Linked DNA regions of Macaca fascicularis. The protein of the gene in region 3 interacts with the protein of the main gene of each other region in a biochemical or structural test. Links are inferred from orthologs where the notes say so. Each region holds a gene or a part of one and is shown on either strand. Other genes may lie near its edges.

Region 1 (4,568 bases), on a different chromosome or scaffold from region 3:
GCAGTGACTCCACTGTGACCTGAATGTCATGTCCCCTCCTGGGCCTCAGTTTCCCAATGGCAAAGTGGGAGAGTACCGAATGGGCACCAAGAGTCCATCTTTACCGTGTACTGGCCAATGAGGGAGATGCAGGAAAGGCGGGCCAGGGAGGGTGGCAGAGGGTGCGGGGGCGGCAGGCAGGGTAGCCCTCACCTTGGAAGGGATTGTTGTTCGTCTGGATGCGCTGAGTGATAGCCTGCTCCAGGTCCCGCTTCTTCACACACTGGATTCCCAGGTTCTGGAAACTGAGCACCCCCAGCCATCTGTCCCACTGTCTCTCACACAGCCCGGACCTTCCTGCCTTGCCCAGTCTGCTCCTTCCTCCCCCACCCACCCCCAGACCATCGCTCCATGCTTGACCCCCTCCAGTGGCTTCCTACTGTGCTGCAATGAACCCTGTCCCTTCCCTCAGCTGACAAGCACCTCCGTGCCCCCGCCCCTGCCAGCCTCCCCGTGGGCTCCCTGCTTACAACCACAGGCGCTTCTTTTCCATTCTCTAAACACAGGACACTCATTCCCACCTCAAGGCCTCTGCACTTGTTTGGTCGGCTTGGAATGTTCTTTTCCTACTTCTCTCCTCCTTCTCACCATTCAAGGAGGGAGGCCTTCCCTGACCTTCCAATCTAAAGTCATCACACCAGCTCCCGTAACTCCCCCACCCCAGGTTATCCTTCTATCCTATGACTTTGTTTTATTTTCAGGACTGAAATTGTTACTCTGACAGCACCTTGTTTATTTATCTGTGTATTTATTTATTTTTAAGAGACAGGGTGTTGGGCCGGGTGCGGTGGCTCACACCTGTAATCCCAGCACTTTGGGAGGCTGAGACAGGCAGATCATGAGGTCAGGAGATTGAGAACATCCTGACTAACATGGTGAAACCCCTTCTCTACTAAAAAAAAAAACGCAAAAAAATTAGCTGGGCGTGGTGGCGGGCACCTGTAGTCCCAGCTACTTGGGAAGCTGAGGCAGGACAGTGGTCTAAACCCGGCAGATAGAGGTTGCAGGGAGCTGAGATTGCGCCACTGCACTCCAGCCTGGGGACAGAGCAAGACTCCGTCTCAAAAAAAAAAAAAAAAACACGACAAGGTGTCGCTCTGCTACCCAAGTGTCGTGGTGTAATCATAGCTTGCCATAGCGGTGACCTCCTGGGCTCAGGTGATCCTCCCACATCAGCCTCCCAAGTAGCTGGGACTATAGGCACAAGTCACCATACCCAGCTAATTTCTTATTTTTTTGTAGAGATAGGGTCTCACTATGTTGCCTTGGTTAGTCTTGAACTCCCAGGCTCAAGAGATCTTCCTGCCTTGGCCTCCGGAAGTGCTAGAATTATAAGCATGAGCCACTATGCCTGGCCTGTATATTTTTTTAAGGCCTGTTTCTGTCAACTGCAATGTCACCTCCAGGGGAGAGTGTTGGTTCAGTGGTTTTCTTTCTCAAACAAGAGACATGACTCCAAGGGACTTGTCCTTCCAGCTACAGGGGTCAGGGATTCAGAAGTGATTAGGGACCCATCCATATCCCTTGGAGCTCTTATCTGTGCTAGAGTAGAGGTACAAATAGATCATTTCAAGACAAAGAGAGTTTACTTGCAGAGCTGAGTCAGAGCAAGAAGTAAGCAACTCTGCCCTGTGTCCAGAAAGGAGTAACACTGTAGCGGCTACTTCATAGCCCGCCTCCTGTTCCCTCATGCTGGGCCTCCTAGCCTGCAGGGAGCTCACCTGTGGATGCAGCGGTCCGGGCAGAGCTCAGCCTCATAGAAGCCATCCCGGCAGTCCTTTCCTACAAGCTCGTGGGGGTGAGGCCGGTGAGGAGGGTCCTTGGTGACTAGGGAGATGCGTACTGTCCCTGGTCCTGTGTAGCCATTGATCTGTCCAAAGTACAGAGGCCCAGACATCCAAACCTGACTCCCAGACACAGAGGGCTGGGGTTCCACAGTCCCTTCCCCGCACACCCTGGTGCAGTGCTGACCTTGATGGTGGGGTGGGTCTTGGTGGTATCTGTGCTCCTCTCGCCTGGGATGCTGCCCGCGGAGCGCCCCTCGCACTTGTAGCGGAAGCGCATGCCCCGCTGCTTGGGCTGCTCAATGATCTCCACATAAGGGCCAGAGGCCTGGGCTGGCTCTGCCAGGGGACACCGCAGGCCCATTAGACAGCTGCCCCCGCTGCCCTACCCCAGGGAACACCTCCCGGACCGCTGCGGGGGCCACTTACCTGCCGGGAAGATGAGGGGGAACAGTTCTGAAAGGGGAGGGAGATCAGGGTCAGCACACACCCACTGCCCATCCTCACAAGGGAGTATCTGCTCTCCACAGAGAAGAGAAGCCAGGCTCCCTCCCAGGGGAACTGAGTAAGGACCTGCTTCCTAGAACCTGCGGTGAAACTAAGGAGTGGAGGAAAGGAACCAGAAACACCTGCTTCTTGAGGGAAAACGGGGTAAGGAATCCTTCTCCCGAGGGAAGCCGAATCAGGGCCTGTTGTACTTTCATAAGGAAAACTGAGGGAGGGCACGCCCCACCTCCATCCAGAGAGGAAACTGAATCAGATGCGTTCTCCCCTAATAGGGAAACGAAGCCAGAGCTGCCCCCATGGACGGTGTGGAGGGAAACTGAGTCAAGGCTCCCTCTGCTCCCCCACCCAGGGAGGATGCTGAGTCAAGGGCCCCCCTCCACCCAGAGGGGAAACTGAGTCAGACCCCTCCCCGCCTGCCCCGCCCCGCGCCACCATCCGGCAGGCCGACCGCTCCCTGCGCAGCGCCAGTCGGCGCAGGAAGGGGCGGAAAGCGGCGCGGGGCCTCCCGCCACAGCCGGGGCGGTCCCGGCGCGGCCACCCCGCGGGGTCAGAGGGCGACCTCACCGTCCATGGCCGGGGTCCCGGGGGCGGGGCCGGGGTCGCAGCTGGGCCCGCGGCGTGCACTACAGCCGAGCCATTCGCCAGAGGCGGAAATGCGCCGCGCGCGCCCGCCGTCGCGTCACTGCCCGGAATCCGGCCGCGCCTGCGCGCTGCCCCGCCGCCGCCCGGCGAAGGGGCCGGGAGCAAGTGCGCGCCGCGCGGAGGACGAAGAGGCCGCGCGCACAGCCGCTGCCGGGGGCCGGGGCCAAGTGCGCGCGTCGCCGGGGACGAAGAGGCTGGTGTGCCCGGTGGTTCGGCTAGCTCCCGGGTCCCGGCCCCGCCTGGAGGGCGGGTCCGCCGATTACTCACTTTGTTTTTAGGGGATTTCAGGGCCCCCTCCCACCGATCGGCGGAGTTTGGTGATGTCACTCTGGGCCGGGTCTGGAGCAAAGCCCGGGCTACGGGGCTGCGGCCGCCCGCCCCGCGCAGGGAAAGGCCCAGTCGGGCCTTCTGCTCCGCAGAGGCCGGGTGGTTGAACTCCACGCCGGTTTCCTCATCGCTAAAGGTGCCTTTCGGTGGTGACTGTCTCAGAAGCACGTTAAAATGTCCAACCTACCCCACTCTAGATGCGGCTGTAGGGGAAGGGGAGCGGCCGGACCTCCCCCTCTGACAGTGCATCAGGGAGCTTTGCGGAGCCTGCAGCCCGGATGGGACAACTTGAGGCCCTCCCGCTGGCGAGCTGGCCGAGAGCTCGTCCCTCTCCAGCTAAAGCGCCAGCTTACTATGCAGCCAAACTGCCGGCCCTCAGCGGCTGCAGGAGCAGGGGGTCCCCAGGGGTAAACCCCGGAGCTTCGTCTCTGAAGCCTGGCGCTTGTATCTCAGAAGGTCCGGAACCCACAGGGGACACTCGAATCAGCAGGGCCACAACCCCCAACCCCACTGCCCCCGCCTGTGTTTGCCCTGGACCTCCAGCTAGGGCTGACCACTAATTCTGTCATGTGACCCCACAGTGCGGGTAGCTCCCCCAAGACCAAGCCCAAGGCGCGTCCTTGTGGGGGCTGGGGCTGGCGCAGCCCCACCTCAGGCCTCATCCCCGAAGGAGGATGCTCCAGGGGGCGGAGTCTTCTCCAGATGGAGAAAGACTTATTTTCTCTGAATTCGTCTTGAATTAGGAAATCATGTGGGAATTGGAAAAGATTGGAAATTCTGACTTGTTTCCCAGGCTCTGAAGAAACAGGAAGAGAAAAGTGAAAATAGAGTTAGCACCCCGCCCACTCATTTCAGTTTCTCCAGTGGCTGGCCCTGATTAGAAAAGTGTTTACTTTTGGCAGGGGGCGGGGAAGGCCGACTTCAGTTGAGCGAATGGATGACATACAATTATCATTAAACCTTGCATGGATCCTCTTCTTAAAATTCTTGTATATTTATAACTTTTAAATTAATACCATAAACACCCGTGTACCCATTGCAAAACTTAAGGGACCACCACCGTGCAGAATTCTGCATTGTATTGTATTGTATTGTATGTATTTATTTTTTGAGACAGGCTCGCGCTCTGTCGCCCAGGCTGGAGTGTAGTGGCACAGTCTTGGCTCACTGCAGCCTCTACCACCTAGGATCAAGCAATCCTCCCACTTCAGCCTCCTGCATAGCTGGGACTATGGGAGCACACCACCATGCCTGGCTAAGTTTTTGTAT
Region 2 (4,616 bases), on a different chromosome or scaffold from region 3:
TCCTGGCAGTTAACTCCTCCAGCATCCACTTTTAAGAACTCTTGAGGAATAATGGCCGGGCCCAGTGGCTCACGCCTGTAATATCAGCCCTTTGGGAGGCCAAAGCAGAGGACTGCTTGAGCCCAGGAGTTCAAGACCAGCCTGGGCAACAAAGCAAGACCCTCATCTCTAAAAAAAAAAATTTTTTTTTTTTTTTGAGACAGAGTTTTGCTCCTGTTGCCCAGGCTGGAGTGCAATGGCGCAATCTCGGCTCGCTGCAACCTCCACCTCCTCCGTTCAAGCCTCCTGGGTTCAAGCGATTATCCTGCCTCAGCCTCCTGAGTAGCTGGGTTTACAGGTGCCCACCACCATACCTGGCTAATTTTTTTTTTTAGTAGAGATGGGGATTCACCACGTTGGCCAGGCTAGTCTCAAACTCCTGACCTCAGGTGATCCACCCATCTTGACCTCCCAAAGTGCGGGGATTACAGGCGTGAGCCACTGAGCCCGGCCTTCTAAAAATTTTTTTTAAGGATTAGCTGGGCATGGTGGCATGTGCCAGCTACTCAGGAGGCTAAGGCAAGAGGACTGCTTGAGCTCATGGGTTTGAGGCTGCAGTAAGCCATGACTATGCCACTGCATTCCAGCCTGGGTGACACAGTGAGATCCCGTGTCTTAAAAGAAAAAACTTAAAAAACAAGCTAAGTTAGCCACTAGCATATGAACCTTTATGTGCCATGCATATTCTCATTTAACCCAATACCACCTGAAAACACATGTCATTATTCCTAGACTATGGATATAGAGGTGGCATATGCTTGTTTAAGATCATCGAGCCAGTGGAGGCCATGTTTTCAAGAAGGCTGGGCAGGCCAGGTACAGTGGCTCACACCTGTAATCCCAACACTTTGGGAAGCTGAGGCAGGAGGATCGCTTGAGGCCAGGAATTGAAGACCAGCCTGAGCAACATGGCAAGACTCCGTCTCTACAAAATTAAAAAAAGGAATAAAAAAGGAAGGCCGGGCCCAAACTTCTCTGAATTGGGTCTAACATCATGAAGCCAGGTACTTTTGTAACTTCACTTCCATTCCATTTTAAATCAAGTTTTATCTTGGGAGGATACTGGTACAGATGATTCAAGAAGGTATATACCCACTAACTGGTTAAGAAGTGGTTTGACTATAATCCCAGCACTTTGGGAGGCTGAGGCGGGTGGATCACTTGAGGTCAGGAGTTCGAGACCAGCCTGGCCAACATGGAGAAACCCCAACTCTACTGAAAACACAAAAATTAGCCAGGCATGGTGGTGGGCACCTGTAATCCCAGCTACTCAGGAGGCTGAGGCAGGAGAATCACTTGAACCCCGGAAGTGGAGGTTGCAATGAGCTGAGATCACGCCACTGCATTCCAGCCTGGGTGACAGAGCAAGACTCCATCTCAAAATAAAAAAGTTGTAGTTAAGGCATGGTGGCTCATACCTGTAACCCTAACCTTTGGGACACAGAGGCAGGAGGACTGCTTAAGGGCAGGGGTTTAAGACCAACCTGGGCAATATGGTGAAACCTCATGTATACAGAAAAAACTAAAAGTCAGTTGGGCATGGTGGTGGTCGCCTATGGTCCCAGCTACTCAGGAGGCTGAGGATCCCTTGAGCCCAGCAGTTCAAGGCTACAGTGTGTTATAATTGTGCCAGGGCACTCCAGCCTGGACAACAGAGTGAGACTCATCTCTAAAAATAAAATTGTTGTTGTTGTTGTTTTTGTTTGTTTGTTTGTTTTGAGACAGGGTCTCACTCTGTCACCCAGGCTGGAGTGCAGTACCACGATCTCGGCTCACTATATACAGCCTCAATCTCTGGGGCTCAAGTGATACTCCCACCTTAGTCTCTTGAGTAGCTGGGACTCCAGGTACATGGCACTACTCCTGGCTAATTTTTGTATTTTTAGTAGAGATGGGGTTTTGCCATGTTGCCCAGGCTGGTCTCAAACCCCTGGTTCAAGAGATTCATCCGCCACTGCCTCCCAAATTGCTGGGATTACAGGCGTAAGCCACAGCACCCAGCCTTCAAAAAAAAAGTAGGGGGTCGAACCAAATATCCATCCCTCCCCAAAGGCCCAACCAGGCCAGTTAACAAGCCCAAGGAAATAGAAAAATGGCAGAGTGCTTTCACAGATTCAGCTGGAAGTGTCCAGGCCTGGTGAGGGTTCCTATGCCTCATGCACACCTCCCTTGAACAAGTTGTTAGGAATGAATAGATGGCGTTCATGGACAAGGGGCTGGGACCACTGCTCCCACTGATCCTGTGCACGGAAGTCGGACAGAGGCATGAATTGCTAAAGCCAGGGCCTCCAACATTAGACACACACACTAAAGAACACACCCACGAACACACGCAAACACACACGAAAGTGTAGCCAGTTCTCAATAGCAAGACTTCCCTGATGCCCACGGCTCACAGGCACAGATTTACAGGAAAAGACCAACCATGGAGCCTTCACGCTTCCCGGGCCCTGCGCGGCATTGCACGGTTCAAGTTCCTGCCAAAACACAGACTTTCCCAAGGAGCAAGGAACACACAGTCCCAAGTGACAGAATGAGTTCCCCCTACGGAAGGCTGGGCTCTCAAACATGAGCCAGCCCAGCCCGGGCCCCGACCGGTGACGTCCGTCTCTGGAGGCCGCCATCGGGATGCACAGCTTTGGGGGAAAGGCACTGAGGGACCCCCCACCAGAGAAGCACCACCGGGGACCGGGCCGGACACCGGAAGTGGAGGCCGAAGTGCCGGTGCCCGAGGGGTGTCCGTTGGCCGCGGGCTGCCCACTTCCTGTGCTACCAAGCTGGAGGCAGGAGCCCGGCCCACCGCTGCTTGGAGAAGGGGACCCCGGAGACGAACCCAAAGCTTGCTGTATTTGGGGATCAAAAGAGAACCCCCACCCCGCCCAGTTTCTAGCCACCAGGGAGCTACGGGGGAATCCACAGCCCATTTTGGCGCCAAACAGCCCGGGCACGCGCGACCGGAAGTGCCACCCTGCCCGCGCCAACTGCCGCTGCGCGCCGCACCACCCCACGCATGCGCGCCCGTCTGTCAGCAGCGGCCACTGGCCACCCCGAGGGGAAGCGACCCCCCACCCAGCGCCCTGCCTGGCCCCCCGAGTCCACGTTCCCCCCACGGTACCTACCGCCTGCGGACATCGTCGGGCAGTGAGATGGCCGGGACGGCCAGTGTGGGCACCCGGGCTGGGGCGGTACGCGCCGGCATCTCGGAGGCTGCAGCAGACGCGACGGCGGCAGCGCAGGCGCCCCGGCTTTTCGCGCGGAAACCGATGGGGAGGGGCGATGAGCGGAGGCGGCGTCTACCACCCCAGTCCGGGCGCGGGGAGGGGGGAGCGGATGTACCAAAAGGAAAGAGGCGATACCCTGTGCAGAAGGATGGAACGGAGCAGGCCATGCCCAGGGACCACGCATGCGCGAGGCGGTCACGCACCCCCGCGCGGAGCAGTGGGCTCGTCCAAGCTCCACGGTTTGCTGGGAGGTGGGCACCGTGCCCGAGGCATTCATTCATTCATTCTTTCAGGTGTGATGGGGATAAAGCAGCAAGAAGTCCCCAAGGGCTTGTGAGAGCCCTTGAGTAAAGTCCTCAGTTCCAATTCAACCTCCATCTATTTGCTGGCTGTACGACCTTGGATGGGTCACTAGGACTCAGCCTCTGTGTCCTCGTCTGTAAAACGGGGTAATTGCACCTACTCTAGAAAATCTTGAGTATGCACAGAATTTGTAGCTAGTACCAAGAATCTCACAGTGTATAGAGACCCGTGCCACTTCTATACCCAGTGTGTGTGGGGTTTTTTGTTCCCCTTTTTAAGCACCACGTGGCTTATGCCTGTCATCCCAGTACTTTGGAAGGCCAGGGCAGGAGGATCGCCTCCTGGTTTAAGAGAAACCACATCTCTTAAAAGAAAAAAAGGAAAACAAAAATTAGCTAGGCGTAGTGGCGTGTGCCTGTAGTATAACTACTCTAGAGGTTGAGGCAGGAAGATCGCTTGAACCAGTGAGGCAGAGGTTATAGTGAGCCATGATTGCGCCACTGCATTCCAGCCTGGGAGACAGAGCAAGACCGTGTCTCAAAAAAATAAAAATAAAAAGTAAAAATAAATTAAGAAGCACTATGCCAGGCGCAGTGGCTCATGCCTGTAATCCCAGTGCTTTGAGAGGCCCAGGTGGGAGGATCGCTTGAGGTTAGGAGTGCAAGACCAGCCTGAGCAACATAGGGATACCCCATCTCTACAAAAAATACAAAGATTCGCTGGGCATGGTGACATACACCTGTAATCCTACCTACTCAGGAGGCTGAGGTGGGAGGATGGCTTGAGCCCTGGCAGTATAGGCTGCAGTGAGCTATGATTGGGCCGCTGGACTCCTGCCTGGGCGACGGGGTAAGACCTTGTCTCACTCTGTCACGCCGGCTGGAGTGCAGTGGTGAGATCTTGGCTCACTGCAACCTCTGCCTGCCAGGTTCAAGCGATTCTCATGCCTCAGCCTCCCTAGTAGGCTGGGATTACGGGCGTACTCCACCACGCCTGGCCAATTTCTGTATTTTTAGTGGGAGAGACAGGGTTTCACCATGTTGGCCAGGGTAG
Region 3 (4,017 bases):
CCAAGCATTTTTTCATCAATCTCATGAGGAGAGGCAACAAGCTGAGAAACCGATGAAGCAGAAGAACCAACAAGGTGGCAGAATCTTCCTTCAGGGTACTAAGATGCCAGACTGTGACATCTGGCAGAGTGTGCTGAACGCAATGGAGTGTGTGTGACCCTTGGAAAAAAGCAAGAATCTGACTCTACTGGAACTGTGCAAACTGGCCACTGACAAAAACGATCCCCACTTGTGTGACTTCAGGGAGATGCGCTGCTGGAATGATGAAGTGAAATCCATCAAAGAATTGGGTGACCATGTAACCTACTTATGCAAGATGGGGGCCCCTGAATCTGGTATCTTCTGGCCAAGCACAGTCTGGGAGACAGTGATGACAAGAGCTAAGCCTTAGGTTGGCTTCCCCATAACCACAGGGTGACGTCCCCAGTCACCAAAGCAGTGCCTACAGGTAGGGGTTAATTTTACCCATTGTATAAATTGTAGAAAAACTTCCACTTGAATTCTTTCATTTGTATTATTCCTTAACATAAAATAATTCAGTACCCCCAAAGAACAAAATAAAACTGTGAGTGCTACCTGCCATCAAAGAAGAAGAACTTCCCCCGTCCGTTCTTTTCTCCATGAACAAAGTTCCCCTCAAATCTGTCTGTGGAGGAGTAGGTGACTGTGCAGAACCCGTGTGGTAATCCGTCGTCATCCAGGTGTCCTGGAGAAAGGGAACCACAAGGCAAACTTTAACATCGTCAGTGCTCCTCCCATCTGACGTCTAAGCATTCACATGCTGCAAGACAAGTCCCCTGCCCAACTCTCCTCCAGCTGCCAAAGGGTCCCCTCCCTGGCACGAAAGGACAGTCAGCGTGCAAAGGTTTCTCACCTCATCGGCACCAGCAGTACCAAACTGATTGTTACGTACACTTTGTGAACTGATAGGTCCAGAACAGACTTAGACACATTCCAGAATATGAATTTTAAATAAGCTTGCTTTTTACCTGGAACTGAGAGTCATTATCAGTAATATCCTCTGCAGGGCATGTCACAATTTACCAAGTACTCTCCAGAGAGTCCTCATATTTGGAATTGATACCTCCAATCTCTCATGCTTAACTGAAGTGTGGTTGAGATTCCACTGTTTTATAGTCAATTGCCACATACGCAGTCATTGGAATAAATTATCTAATTCTAGAACATTAAGTATGCAATATGATTTTATATATCATTCTATAATATGATGTGGAGGACTGCTAGCCAGTCTGAAAATCTCACTGTTATTGTTATATTCACACGAAGGACACAGTCATATCTTTAAAACTGCCCTAAGAGTTATACAGCTCATTGTACAAACACAGAAACCTGGAGTCCTTCTCACCTTAAACTTGAGCTTAACCTTAAACCTACTGCTTTACTTTACAAAATCTTCAGCTTTGAATGTTTAGTAATAACCTTATCATATACCTTCCACCACTGTGTGTCAGAGGGCTTGTATTTTAAATGGAGCCAGAGTATACACATGGTCATTTAAGCAATGATTGTGATTATCAGCAGAAGTTATTACATGGACCTTTAAGTCACTGGTTCTTCCTAGGTCAAAGATTGGTATAGTTTAATATTGACATTTACAGTCAATGTTTACACTTTTTATTACTATCTACATGTTTTACAAAACCCAGGAATCACCTTATTGGTGTCTTCCCAATCATTCTGGTGAGCTGATTTTGCAGAGGTGGGTGAAAATGAAGGCAGTAGTTATTCTACTGGCTTTTTCTTGGGGTAACAACCTGGGCCATGGAGAGAAAAGGCATGAAAACATTAAACACTGTGTCTAATGCAGGGACATTAAACATTGAAATGTAGCTTCCAGATGGCTCACAGACATAAAAGGAAACACAAACCATACTACCACAATGAAATATTTAGTCTCCTAAAATAATTTATTCTAACATGATAAAGCAATATTAGCCCTTGGAAAAGATGGTAAGTACACACTCTCATAAAGAATAAATATGCGGCCGGCTGTGGTGGCTCACGCCTATAATCCCAGCACTTTGGGAGGCTGAGGCAGGTGGATTACCTGAGGTCCGGAGTTTGAGACCAGCCTGGCCAACACAGTGAAACCCCATCTCTACTAAAAATACAAAAAATCAGCCAGGCATGGTGGCAGTCGTCTGTAATCCCAGCTACTCAGGAGGCTGAGGCAGGATAATCGCTTGAACCCAGGAAGCAGAGGTTGCAGTGAGCCAAGATTGTGCCACTGCACTCCAGCCTCGGCAACAAGAGCGAAACTCCATCTCAACAACAACAACAAAAAGAATAAATATGCTTTTTATTTGTATTATTAATTACATAAACAAAATAGCTGCAAACAAATACAGTGTTTTATTGCTACATCTGACTCTGTATATAATGGGTTACCAAGAACATCTTACAATAAGACACATCTACTTAAACAAATCATAATCAGTATGGATCCCTTCCTTTTAACACAAAAGAGGAAAGGACCAGGAAATTAATGGTCAGAATGGAACTAGGCCATAATTGCTTTCCTCTCGCTCAAAAACGAACTGTACATGACATAAATTCAATGACATTTGAGTCATATGAAATCACTTGGACAATTATTTTCTAAATATCTGATGCCATTTCTCTCATTGAAATAAAGTAAATTTACTTTTCTCTTTTCATTAAAAAAAGCCACTCAGTGTATTGCTAAGAGCTTTTTTTTTAGTGAAATGTTGTTGCAATCAAGTTAAATTTAGGCATATAAATTCAGTGTCCTACTTTTGATTTAGGTATTAATATCCAAATAATCAGTTTAGCCTCATACTAGAGCATTTATTAACTTGTTGAAAATGCTTTCATCATAGAAAACAGTTCACATATTTCAGAGTTTTAAAAGCTTATGTTTGATAAAATTTGTTATTCCACTTTAGATTGAGAGAATTACCATAAATCTGAACACTAAGGAAAAAGTTTCCAATATAATTAATTTCTACCTTCCTTCAGCCCTGTCCTATTTCTGAATAAAACACTGAAGGTTCACCCTCAGCAATGGAATTTAGATATTAGGGAAAATTGAAAGTGTCATATAACATACTACAAGCCCTTGGAGGATAGTACTGATCCCAGTTGAGACGACAACAAAAATGTCAACTCCACTCCATGAAGAATCCTTCCTTCCTTCCCTCCTTCCTTCCTTCCTTCCTTCCTTCCTTCCTTCCCTCCCTCCCTCCCTCCTTCCTTCCTTCTTCCTTGCCTCCCTCCCTCCTTCCCTCCTTTTCTTCCTTTCTTACCTCACTCCCTCCTTCCCTCTTTCTCTTCCTCTTTCCTTTATTTTTCAGAGACAGGGTCTCACTCTGTTACTTAGGCTGGAGTGCAGTGATGAGACCATTGCTTACTGTAACCTCAAACTTGTAGGCTCAAGTGATCCTTCTGCCTCAGCCTTCCATGTAGCTGGGACTTTAGGTAGACATCACCACAACCGGCTAATTTTTTTTTTTTTTTTTTTTTGAGACAGAGTTTCACTCTTTTTGCCCAGGCTGGAGTGCAATGGTGCCATCTTGGCTCACTGCAACCTCCGCCTCCCAGGTGCTAGCAATTGTCCTGCCTCAGCCTCCCTAGTAGCTGGGATTACAGGCACCTGCCACCATGCCCAGCTAATTTTTTTGTATTTTTAGTAGAGACGAGGTTTCACTATGTTGGCCAGGCTGGTCTCGAACTTCTGACCTCAGGTGATCCACCCGCCTCAGCCTCGCAAATGGCTAATTAAAAAATTTTTTTATAGAGACAGGGTCTCACTGTGTTGCCCAGGCTGGTCTCAAACTCCTGAGCTCAAGTGATACACCCACTTTGGGTGCTGGGATTACAGGCAAGAGCCACCACACCTGGCCTCAATGCCTTTCAACAGGCAAATGAAGAGGAGCCCTATCACCATCTTAATCTCTTGGGAGAGACAAGGACAGGGGAGAGCTACCAAATGATGGCCATTACTCTGGTGACCTTGCACATTAAGGAGGTGCTTGG
Region 4 (4,572 bases), on a different chromosome or scaffold from region 3:
GTGGCGCTGGGAAGCCTGTTTCAAAGTGCCGGGCACATGGGCCACCCCTGTCTGCGACTGCTCAGTAAGCTGACTTCCAGGGCAGAGTGCCCTCTTTGAACTTTAGGCTGGGGTTTCCCAGTATTGATTTCACTTAGGCTGAATTAACAATGCACATGCCTGGCTGCGCTTCTCACACGCAACTAGCTAGTCATCTACCCTAACAGAAGATAGGGTGAATTAACAACATACATGACTAGCCAGCCTTTTAACTGAATGGGAGATTGGGTATGTTAACACATACAATGACGTGGACTTCTAACTGGAGATGGGCCAACATCACAGCTACATATGTGTGTGCACATGGGCACACGTGCACGTGCGCACATACACACACACACACCCCTAGCCAGCCTTCTAACCTAATGGGAGATAGCCCAAGTTAACAAGATATACAACTAGCCAGCTTTCTAAATTAACAGGAGGTAGGCTGAGTTAACACACACAAGTAGCTGGACTTTGTTTTTTTTTTTTTTTTTTTTGGTTTTGAGACTGAGTCTCGCTCTGTTGCCCATGCTGGAGTGCAGTGGCATGATCTTGGCTCACTGCAACGTCTGTCTCCTGGGTTCAAGCAGTTCTCCTGCCTCAGCCTCCCAAGTAGCTGGGATTACGGGCATGTGCCACCACACCTGGCTAATTTTTGTCTTTTTAGTAGAGATGGGGTTTCACCATGTTGGCCAGGCAGGTCTGGAACTCCTGACCTCAGGTGATCCACCCGCCTTGGCCTCCCAAAGTGCTGGGATTACAGACCTGAGCTGCCACGCTGGTGAAGTAGCTGGACTTCTAACTGAAAATAGGCCAAGATAACACATACTACTTGCTGGCCTTAACAGGCTGTCTAGGTAGGAGACTAGCTGGACTGGTAACCTCACTGGAAAGAAGCTGTGTGTACACACACACACACACACACGCAGGACTTGTAACAGTTTGAAAGAGGCTGAGCTGAGAACACACAAGACCAGCCAGCCTTCCAACCTAACTGTAGATAGGCTGAGTTGACACAACTAGCTGGGGTTGCTTACCTAACTGGAGATAGGCCAGTTACGCTACCCTCAACACCCCGTCCCCAAACAGACCAACCATGATTCTTATCTAAAGGGATAGACCAAGTTAGCACCACACACGACTAGCTGGACTTGTAACTGGAGACAGGCTGGGAGGTAACGCGCATGAGTAGCTGGCCTCCTAACTGGACAGGGTGAACACAGGATTCGCCAGCCTCCCACCCTAATCAGAATTAGGTAAGCCAGCACCGGCCAGCGGAAGGAACCCCCAAAACCCAAGAGCCTGGCTTGCTACAGCAACTCTTCCGACCAGGTGGGTGGCTCTTAAAAGAGCCTTTGGGGTGAACGTTGCGCAACCTCTCAGGTGGCGAGATGGCCCTCCTAGGCCCGCTCCCCACGGATACGGCGTGCCAGCTGGATGTCCTTGGGCATGATGGTGACCCGTTTGGCGTGGATGGCACACAGGTTGGTGTCCTCGAACAGCCCAACCAGGTAAGACTCGCACGCCTCCTGCAGCGCCATCACGGCCGAGCTCTGGAAGCGCAGGTCGGTCTTAAAGTCCTGAGCGATCTCGCGCACCAGCCGCTGGAAGGGCAGCTTGCGGATTAGCAGCTCAGTGGACTTCTGGTAGCGGCGGATCTCGCGAAGCGCCACTGTGCCAGGTCGGTAGCGGTGCGGCTTCTTCACGCCGCCAGTGGCGGGTGCGCTCTTGCGAGCCACCTTAGTGGCCAGCTGCTTGCGTGGCGCCTTGCCACCCGTCGACTTGCGCGCAGTCTGCTTGGTTCGGGCCATGAATTTGAAACTGTTGTCTCTGCCGTGTCCTCTGACCAGACCTCAGCTGATTGCCCGCTTTTATAGAGCTTGCCGCGTTTTCATTGGCTGGCCTCAGGTGGCGTGATGGCCCCCTACTCTCTGATTGGTCCACAGGGCACGCCACTCGGCCGCCTCTCCCTTATATTAGTGCTTGTTGGTCGTGGCCACCAGAGCTAGCACCAGCATTGTGAAGGGTTGATGCGGGTAGGCCACGGCGGTGGAGATCATCTCTCTCCAGCACAAGCTTCCTCGTGTCTCCTCAGCAATCCTCTTCTCCCTTCCTCATGACTTGGGTGGGAAGAGCCTTCCGAAAGCCAGCATGTGGCATTCCACTTTTTTTAAAAATTAATTTTTAAAAAATTTTTTGAGATGGAGTTTAACTCTTGTTGCCCAGGCTGGAGTGCAATGGCGCGATCTCTGCTCACTGCAACCTCTACCTCCCAGGTTCAAGCGATTCTTCTGCCTCAGCCTACCAAGTAACTGGGATTACAGGGATTACAGGTATCCACCACAAAGAGATGGGTTTTCACCATATTGGCCAGGCTGGTCTCAAACTCCTGACCTCAGGTGATCCACCTGCCTCGGCCTCCCAAAGTGCTGGGATTACAGGCATGAGCCACCAGGCCCAGCTGGCATTCCACTTTTTTTTTTTTTTTTTGAGACGGAGTCTCGCTCTGTTACCCAGGCTGGAGTGCAGTGGCGCAATCCCGGCTCACTGCAAGCTCCGCCTCCAGGGTTCAGGCAATTCTCCTGCCTCAGCCTCCCAAATAGCTGGGACTACAGGCGCCCACCACCACACCCGGCTAATTTTGTTTTGTATTTTTAGTAGAGACAGGGTTTCACCATGTTAGCCAGGATGATCTCGATCTCCTGACCTCGTGATCCACCTGCCTCAGCCTCCCAAAATGCTGGGATTACAGGCGTGAGCCACCGCGCCCAGCCGGCATTCCACTTTTACACAGTGATACAGCTCTGGGATCCAACCAGAGTTAAAGGAATCTTCCACTTTTTATGACCTGCAAAGAACTCCCTTTGCTGTATGGCTCAGATGAGCCTTAGGATGCTGAAGAAGGTAAAGATATGCCTTTCTGGCATATTAACTCTTTTGAGATAAAGGCACTTAAAAAAAAAAAAAAATAGAGGCAGGTGTAGGAAGATCATTCTGAGTTTCTTGTTGTTTCTTAAAGGCAAGAAATAGAATTCCCCTATGAAAGATGTTCTTATAGTAAAAGGAAGGGAACGTTCTTATCATCAAGGACCAGAAGGTGGAAGCTTCCAAATCTCCTCCAACTCTGAAGCTGAAATTTGATCCCTAAAGTTGGAGCCGGGGCTCAGTGGGAGGTGTGTGGGTCCTGGAGGTGTCACCCTCTGAATAGAGTCCTGCCCTCCTTTAGGGTGAGTTCTCACTCTGTTGGTTCCCTGAAGAGCTGGTTGTTGAAAAGAGCCTGGCACTCCCCTCCCCTCTCTTTCTGGCTTCCTCTCTTGTGCAGTCCTGTGACCTCTGCACACACATGGGTTCCCCTTCACCTTCCACCATAAGCAGAAGCAGCCAGAGGCCCTCACCAGAAGCAGAGGTGGGCCCTATACTTGCTTCCTTCCATTCTCCCTCCCTCCCTTCCTTTCTCTCTCCCTCCCTCCCTTCTTCGCTCCCTTTCTTCCTTCCTTCCTTTCCTTTCTTTTTATCTTCTTCCCTCCCCTCCCCTCCTCTCCTTCTTTTTTCAGTCTTGCTCTGTTGCCCAGGCCCCTCCTACCTCAGCCTCCCAAGTAGCTGGGACCACATCCAGCTAATTTTTAAATTTTTTGGAGAGATGGGCTGTCATTATGTTGACCAAGCTGGTCTTGAATTCCTGAGTTCAACTGATCCCCCGACTTTGGCCTCCCAAAGTGCTAGGATTACAGGCTTGAGCCACCATGCTGGGCCACCGTGCTTTTTTTGTTTTTTTGACCTGAGTCTCACCCTGTTGCCCAGGCTGGAGTGCAGTGGTGTGATCTCAGCCCACTGCAACGTCCGCCTCCCGGGAAGTTCAAGCAACTCTCCTGCCTCAGCCTCCCGAGTAGCTGGGATTACAGGTGTGAGCCACTGCACCCAGCCACCGTGCTTCTTGTACAGCCTGGGAAACCATAAGCCAATACCTTTTTTTTTTTTTTCCAATAAATCATCCAGTCTCAGGTATTCCTTTAACAACACAAAACAGACTAAGACAGAAGCCAAGAGAAATCTATACAAACAAACTTTATTAAACTAACCCTTATCTTCCTAGTTGTTGCCACAGTTACTACTCTTTGTTCAACCTAGTGTGTAAGCATTTTGACCTAGTCATTTCTTCACCCCATTGACTATCCTCACCCAAGCCCCGTGGCCTTATCAAATCTCACAACTTACTAGTGTTTGTCCACCTCTGTATATAAGTGACCCTAACTGCATCTTTGCATCTTCATTTCCTTATGAGGGCTCCTGTGTCACATTAAATTTGTATTAAATAACTGTATGTTTTTCTCCTGCTCATCTCTCTAATGTCAGTCTAATTCTTGGGCCCAGCCTGGACCCTAAGATAAGGGAGGTAGAATTCTGCCTCCCCTACAGCGCCCCTTGTTGATGCATGACAGGCCCACTGTCTTGGTCTGTTTTGCATTGCTGTAAAGGAATACCAGAGGCTGGGTTATTTATCAAAACATTTTTTAGCTTATGGTTCTGCAGGCTCTATAAGAAGCAAGG
Region 5 (4,803 bases), on a different chromosome or scaffold from region 3:
GGAGGCGGAGGTTGCAGTGAGCCGAGATCGCGACACTGCCCTAGGCAACAGTGCGAGTCTCCGTCTCAAAAAAACAAAAAACAAAAAGAGTTAAGTTTTCAGCTGGGCATGGTGACTCACACCTATAATCCCAGCACTTTGAGAGGCTGAGACAGTCAGATTGCTTGAACTCAGGAATTCAAGACCAGCCTGGGCAACATGGCAAGACCCTATCTCTACTAAAAATACAAAAATTAGCTGGGCGTGGTGGTACACGCCTGTAATCCCAGCTACTTGGGAGGCTGAGGCACAGAATAGCTTGAACCTGGGAGGCGGAGGTTGCAGTGAGCCACAATCACGCCACTTCACTCCAGCCTAGGTAACAGAATGAGACCCTGTCTCCGGAAAAAAAAAAAAAAAAAAGTTAAGTTTTCCATAGTAAACACGTATTATAGTTATAATACTTGAGTTTGTGGAAGTGGACAGGCAGGGCCAAGAGGAATGGCCAAATCGCACAGAGCGTTATATACAGGTGTTCAACGAATGCCTGCTGGTATAGAAGCTAAGCCTGTAGCTTATTTCAAGGACTGCCCCAGACAAATGCCAGTGCAGAGAGGCCAAAAGCCGAACCTGTGGACTTTCTGGACTTCAGCTCCAGAATGGTGCTAGCCTCCTGGCCCTTACGTATTCTGGGAGCCGGGGCTCCTTGTCTCTGTGCCTAGTGCCTCCTGGGCATTCACTAATTCAACAACCGTTGAATGAATGCAGTGCCCAAGCCAATGAGCCTGCCCCTGACAGGTGGCGCGGAGGGCATTTTTCTTTGCCCCTGTCCCTCCCTTTGATCCTAGAACCCATAATCCTGTTCAGTTACTTGAGGACAAGACCCTCGGGTTCTGTTAGGTTTCTGCAGACCTGAGCCTGCTATATGCTTGTCACACAACTGAATGGAAGATGCTTGCCCAGGTCCCAAGCGGTACCCACAGGGACAGGTCCCTGGAGTACAGGAGACAGGCCACCTGGTCCACCCCTGGTACAAACCCCTCCCACCCACTCATTAAGAGGAAGGGCCCCTAAAAGCCCTTCCTGCCCTTTCTCCAACCTTTATCAGCATCTCTAGGAAGCAAGGCGTCCCAGAGGTCAACCTCACAGAAAATGCAGACTGGTCTCCCCACTCAAGAGCAGAATGACATGGGAAGATTCTAACATCTCTAGGCCTCAGCTTCCCAATCTGTAAAAAGGGACTGCTGCTGATAGGGTTAAATGAGTTAATTAGGTAAAGTGCTTGGCACAGAGCCTGGCACACAAGACATCCTCAAAACAATGGTGGCTGCTATTGTTATTATTATTAGCATTGTGGTGATTCCGGAAGGCAGCATTGGGCATGGGGCCAAGGGGGTTGGGGGAGCCTCCTCAGGATGCCTCAGGGACCAGCTGCCACCCACACCCCCATCAGCAGTTAGGCAGCTTCTACCTCCTTGTCCTGAGTCCTGCCTCACCCCTCCCACTTGCTTCAAGCTCCCTGCTGAGACCCCATCCTGCCTGGCCAGGCCCCGCCTGCACACCAGAGCCCCACCTTCACCCATAGGCTGCGCCAGTCAAACTGGTCTCCACACCCTGCCCTGCGCCCCACAGGTCCCAGCTCTACACCTCCAATCCCTTCTCCCACTGTAATTCAGCCGCCTCTTCTGGGCCCCCCAGTCTGAACTGGTCTTGAGCTCAGCGATCAGGGAGGACTTTATTAAAGGATCTCCCTGGGACATTTTCTCTCCTGGCACTGGGGGCCTCTCCAGCTCCCAGAGGCCCAGCCCACCTAGTCCTTCTACAGAGACTCAGGGGTCGGCCTGCCTGATTAATGAGGTTCCATGGCAACCAGGGCCTGGGAGGGTGGAGGGTGGCAGATGGAAGGACAGGCAGAGGGAGGGGACCTGCAGCTGGTCCAGCTGCCCCGCCCCTGCAGAGAAGGCCTCCCAGCCAGGAGGGCTGTCCCCAGAGGCCTGGCCAGCCAGGCCTGCACCTGGCAGTCAGCATCGAGGCAGAAGGAGGGTCTCCTCAATGGCTCACCAACGGTTAGGCCCCAGGACCTTCCTCCGCCCCGCCTTCACTTCCCCTAGCAGCTGTGCTCACTACCGAGATGCAAATTCTGAGCTGAAGCCAGCAGGCCTCAGTTCAAATCCCAGCCCCACCACCTGCAGCCGTATGACCAGGGGCAAGTCACTTCCCCTCTCTGGGCCTCAGTTCTTCCTCCGTCAGATGGGCACAGTGACAACACAGCTCACAGCGGGGTTGTGAGTTTTAGCTGACTTGAAGTCGGCCGAAGGCCTGGCATGCAGTAAACGCCAGTTGAATACACGTGGGTTATTATTATCACTGAGTCTGACGCTGGGGAGCCTCCAGTGAGGAAGCTGAGGCCCAGAGCACAGAGGAGCAAACAGGGACCGGCCCGAGGTCACCCCGCACCCCAGGGCGGGGCCCGCAGGCCCAACCCCGGCTCTGCACCGCCCAGCCTGGGCGCCTCAGTCAACCCCTCCCCCGCCCCCTGCCGCCTCCAGGCCAAACACGGCGCCCTCCCGGGTCTGCGCGGGGGGCACAGGAGGCGCTGTCGGCGCGTCGTCCCTGGGGTCCGTACCGGCGGGCGGCCGAGCGCGGGGCGCGGCGCACTGGGTGTGGGCCGGGGCGCCTGCGGTGTGGCGAAGAGCAGCAGGTCAGGGTCGCAGGGGCCGGCGGCTGGCGCCGCGGGGCCGGTGGGAGCCGGCGGGGCGCTGGCGTCCTGCGCGGCAGAGATGATGACGATCTGCGAGGAGTCGAGCAGCCGCAGCGCGCCGGCCCCGAGCAGGGCCTCCAGCGCCGGCGCGCATGGGCCGCCCGCAGGGGCCCCGGCCAAGGCCATGACGCTCACGGCCCGCGCGGCCCAGGTGACAGGCGGCGGCGGCGGCGCGGGCCCATGGCGGCAGGCCCCGGCGAGGGCTCGATCCCGCTCCGCCCCCGGCCGCCGCTGCCTGCAAAGTCCCGGCCACTTTTACGCGCCAAATCCTTTTTGCCGCGAAAGAGCCACGAGCCGCCGAGCGCCGCCACAATTGGCTGCCCGGGCCGTGACGAGAACGACGGCGGCGGCTCCTATTGGCTTTAGCGCGCCGGACCCGGCGGCGAGGGGCGGGATGGGGCGGCGGCGCGGGGCGGTACGGCCAATGACGGGGCGGGGCGCGCGCAGGCTTTGTCCGGATGGTGCCAGGCGCGGTCTGACTCCCCGCCCCCAGCCCGGGCGTCCCCTGTTGGAGGCGTGGGGACACGGGAACACGGGCCCCGCCCTGCCCCGCCCCGCCCTGCCCCGCCCCGATGCTCCCGCATCCCACTGCCCTTTCTATAGTGCAGGTTCAGAACAGAGCCTCTGTTCTGCACGTGACCCTCAACCTGTAGCCTTCCACAGCCTCAGCTTAGATTTCCAGAGACTGCCCCCTTTTTTTTTCGGGATCATCAGTTCCACAGCCCAGCCATCAGCCACCTCTTCCATCCTCAACTTGCCTCACCCATGACATTATCCTAATCCTGCACCCGGCCCTATCCCGCTCACCCAGAGCCCAAGCTGAAGAGCGGTGGCTAGAAATGGCGGGGGGACGTCAAGCTTTCCTGCAAGTCCCATTTTAGCCAAAATCTCCAACAGCCAACGTAAAGCGTCGGCCTGAACTCATTCATTCCCTCACTCATTCAACAAACGTTTGAAGAGCCTGCTCTGTGCCTCATCCTTAAATCTGCCCCATCCTTAACTCGTGGCCCTGAGGAGCTCACAGTCTAGTAGACGGGAACAGAAAGGTAACAAACGTTTACAATAACATGAAGCGTCGTCTGGGCGCGGTGGTTCACGCCTGGAATCCCTGTAATCAGAGGGCGGGGTGGATCGCTTGAGTCCAGGAGTTTGAGACCAGCCTGAGCAACATGGTGAAAACCCGTCTCTACAAAAAATACAAAAATTAGCCAGGCATGGTGGCGCGTGCCTGTAGTCCCAGCTACTTGGGAGGCTGAGCTGGGAGGATTGCTTGAGCCCGAGAAGTCGAGTCTGCAGTGAGCTATGATCATGCTACTGCACTCCAGCTTGGGTGACAGAGCGAGATCCTGTCGCAAAAACAAAACACATCACTTCTGGGGAGCCCTCCCAAGGATTTACTCGCTTCCTCTATTGCCCACTGCTGCCTCTGTTCCAATGCTGACCACACACTCCTTTTCTCCATCTGCCTCCCCTACCAATCTAGGAGCTCAGTAGCGACTCCTCCCATCACTGGTCTGACCGAGAGCAGGCGCTGAGAAAGGTTATGAAAGAAACAGACGCTAAGCCAGAGGCTGCTTAGACTGTGACAAGGAGACTATGGTTCTGCAAGGGTGGTCCTTAGGCCACTGGCTTCAGAACCACGTGGTCACTTGCTAATTTTGGGCCCACCCTGGCCTTGCCAATTTGAAATCTCTAGGTGCCCAGGAATCTGCATTTTAACAATGTCGTGTCGCCATTCCAGGTGATGTTTTTCTCTTTCTTTCTTTTATTTCTTTCTTTCTTTCTTTTTTTTCCCCGACACTTAGGGAATTAGAAAAGCCAGTATCTTAATTTTTTTTCCTACTTATTTTATATAGAGGAGGTCTCACTATGCTGCGCAGGCTAGTCTCAAACCCCTGGGCTCAAGAGATCCTCCCGCCCCCACTCCATAAAGAAGCTGAGGGCTAGGTCCCATTCTAAACAACCAACCTGGGCACTGGCAGAGGGCAGGAGAAACCGGCACATTCCCATTACAGATGGAAAGAATGTCCTTTCCCTGCACCTTCCCACAGGGGCCCAGTAAA

The links.
Region 1: of the proteins of SETD7 (region 3) and RELA, one has a biochemical effect on the other in vitro, tested with the Homo sapiens proteins (3 studies listed by BioGRID and IntAct, with this or other methods). The link is inferred for Macaca fascicularis from reciprocal best matches to the Homo sapiens genes SETD7 and RELA.
Region 2: of the proteins of SETD7 (region 3) and DNMT1, one has a biochemical effect on the other in vitro, tested with the Homo sapiens proteins (2 studies listed by BioGRID and IntAct, with this or other methods). The link is inferred for Macaca fascicularis from reciprocal best matches to the Homo sapiens genes SETD7 and DNMT1.
Region 4: of the proteins of SETD7 (region 3) and H3-4, one has a biochemical effect on the other in vitro, tested with the Homo sapiens proteins (2 studies listed by BioGRID). The link is inferred for Macaca fascicularis from reciprocal best matches to the Homo sapiens genes SETD7 and H3-4.
Region 5: of the proteins of SETD7 (region 3) and E2F1, one has a biochemical effect on the other in vitro, tested with the Homo sapiens proteins (3 studies listed by BioGRID). The link is inferred for Macaca fascicularis from reciprocal best matches to the Homo sapiens genes SETD7 and E2F1.

The regions. Positions count from the first base shown.
Region 1 is NC_088388.1:8,704,839-8,709,406, reverse strand, and holds the start of RELA (transcription factor p65), read right to left. Parts: upstream 2,988-4,568; 5' UTR 2,902-2,987; coding exon 2,895-2,901; intron 2,422-2,894; exon of another isoform or gene 2,280-2,421; coding exon 2,253-2,279; intron 2,163-2,252; coding exon 2,011-2,162; intron 1,910-2,010; coding exon 1,761-1,909; intron 285-1,760; coding exon 193-284; intron 1-192. UniProt on the Homo sapiens protein: NF-kappa-B is a pleiotropic transcription factor present in almost all cell types and is the endpoint of a series of signal transduction events that are initiated by a vast array of stimuli related to many biological processes such as inflammation, immunity, differentiation, cell growth, tumorigenesis and apoptosis.
Region 2 is NC_088393.1:10,739,934-10,744,549, forward strand, and holds the start of DNMT1 (DNA (cytosine-5)-methyltransferase 1), read right to left. Parts: upstream 2,988-4,616; 5' UTR 2,964-2,987; coding exon 2,464-2,963; intron 1-2,463. UniProt on the Homo sapiens protein: Methylates CpG residues. Preferentially methylates hemimethylated DNA. Associates with DNA replication sites in S phase maintaining the methylation pattern in the newly synthesized strand, that is essential for epigenetic inheritance.
Region 3 is NC_088379.1:144,703,490-144,707,506, forward strand, and holds part of SETD7 (histone-lysine N-methyltransferase SETD7), read right to left. Parts: intron 707-4,017; coding exon 577-706; intron 1-576. UniProt on the Homo sapiens protein: Histone methyltransferase that specifically monomethylates 'Lys-4' of histone H3. H3 'Lys-4' methylation represents a specific tag for epigenetic transcriptional activation.
Region 4 is NC_088375.1:86,334,769-86,339,340, forward strand, and holds H3-4 (histone H3.1t), read right to left. Parts: upstream 2,988-4,572; 5' UTR 1,836-2,987; coding exon 1,425-1,835; 3' UTR 445-1,424; downstream 1-444. UniProt on the Homo sapiens protein: Core component of nucleosome. Nucleosomes wrap and compact DNA into chromatin, limiting DNA accessibility to the cellular machineries which require DNA as a template.
Region 5 is NC_088384.1:89,709,915-89,714,717, forward strand, and holds the start of E2F1 (transcription factor E2F1), read right to left. Parts: upstream 2,988-4,803; 5' UTR 2,867-2,987; coding exon 2,606-2,866; intron 1-2,605. UniProt on the Homo sapiens protein: Transcription activator that binds DNA cooperatively with DP proteins through the E2 recognition site, 5'-TTTC[CG]CGC-3' found in the promoter region of a number of genes whose products are involved in cell cycle regulation or in DNA replication.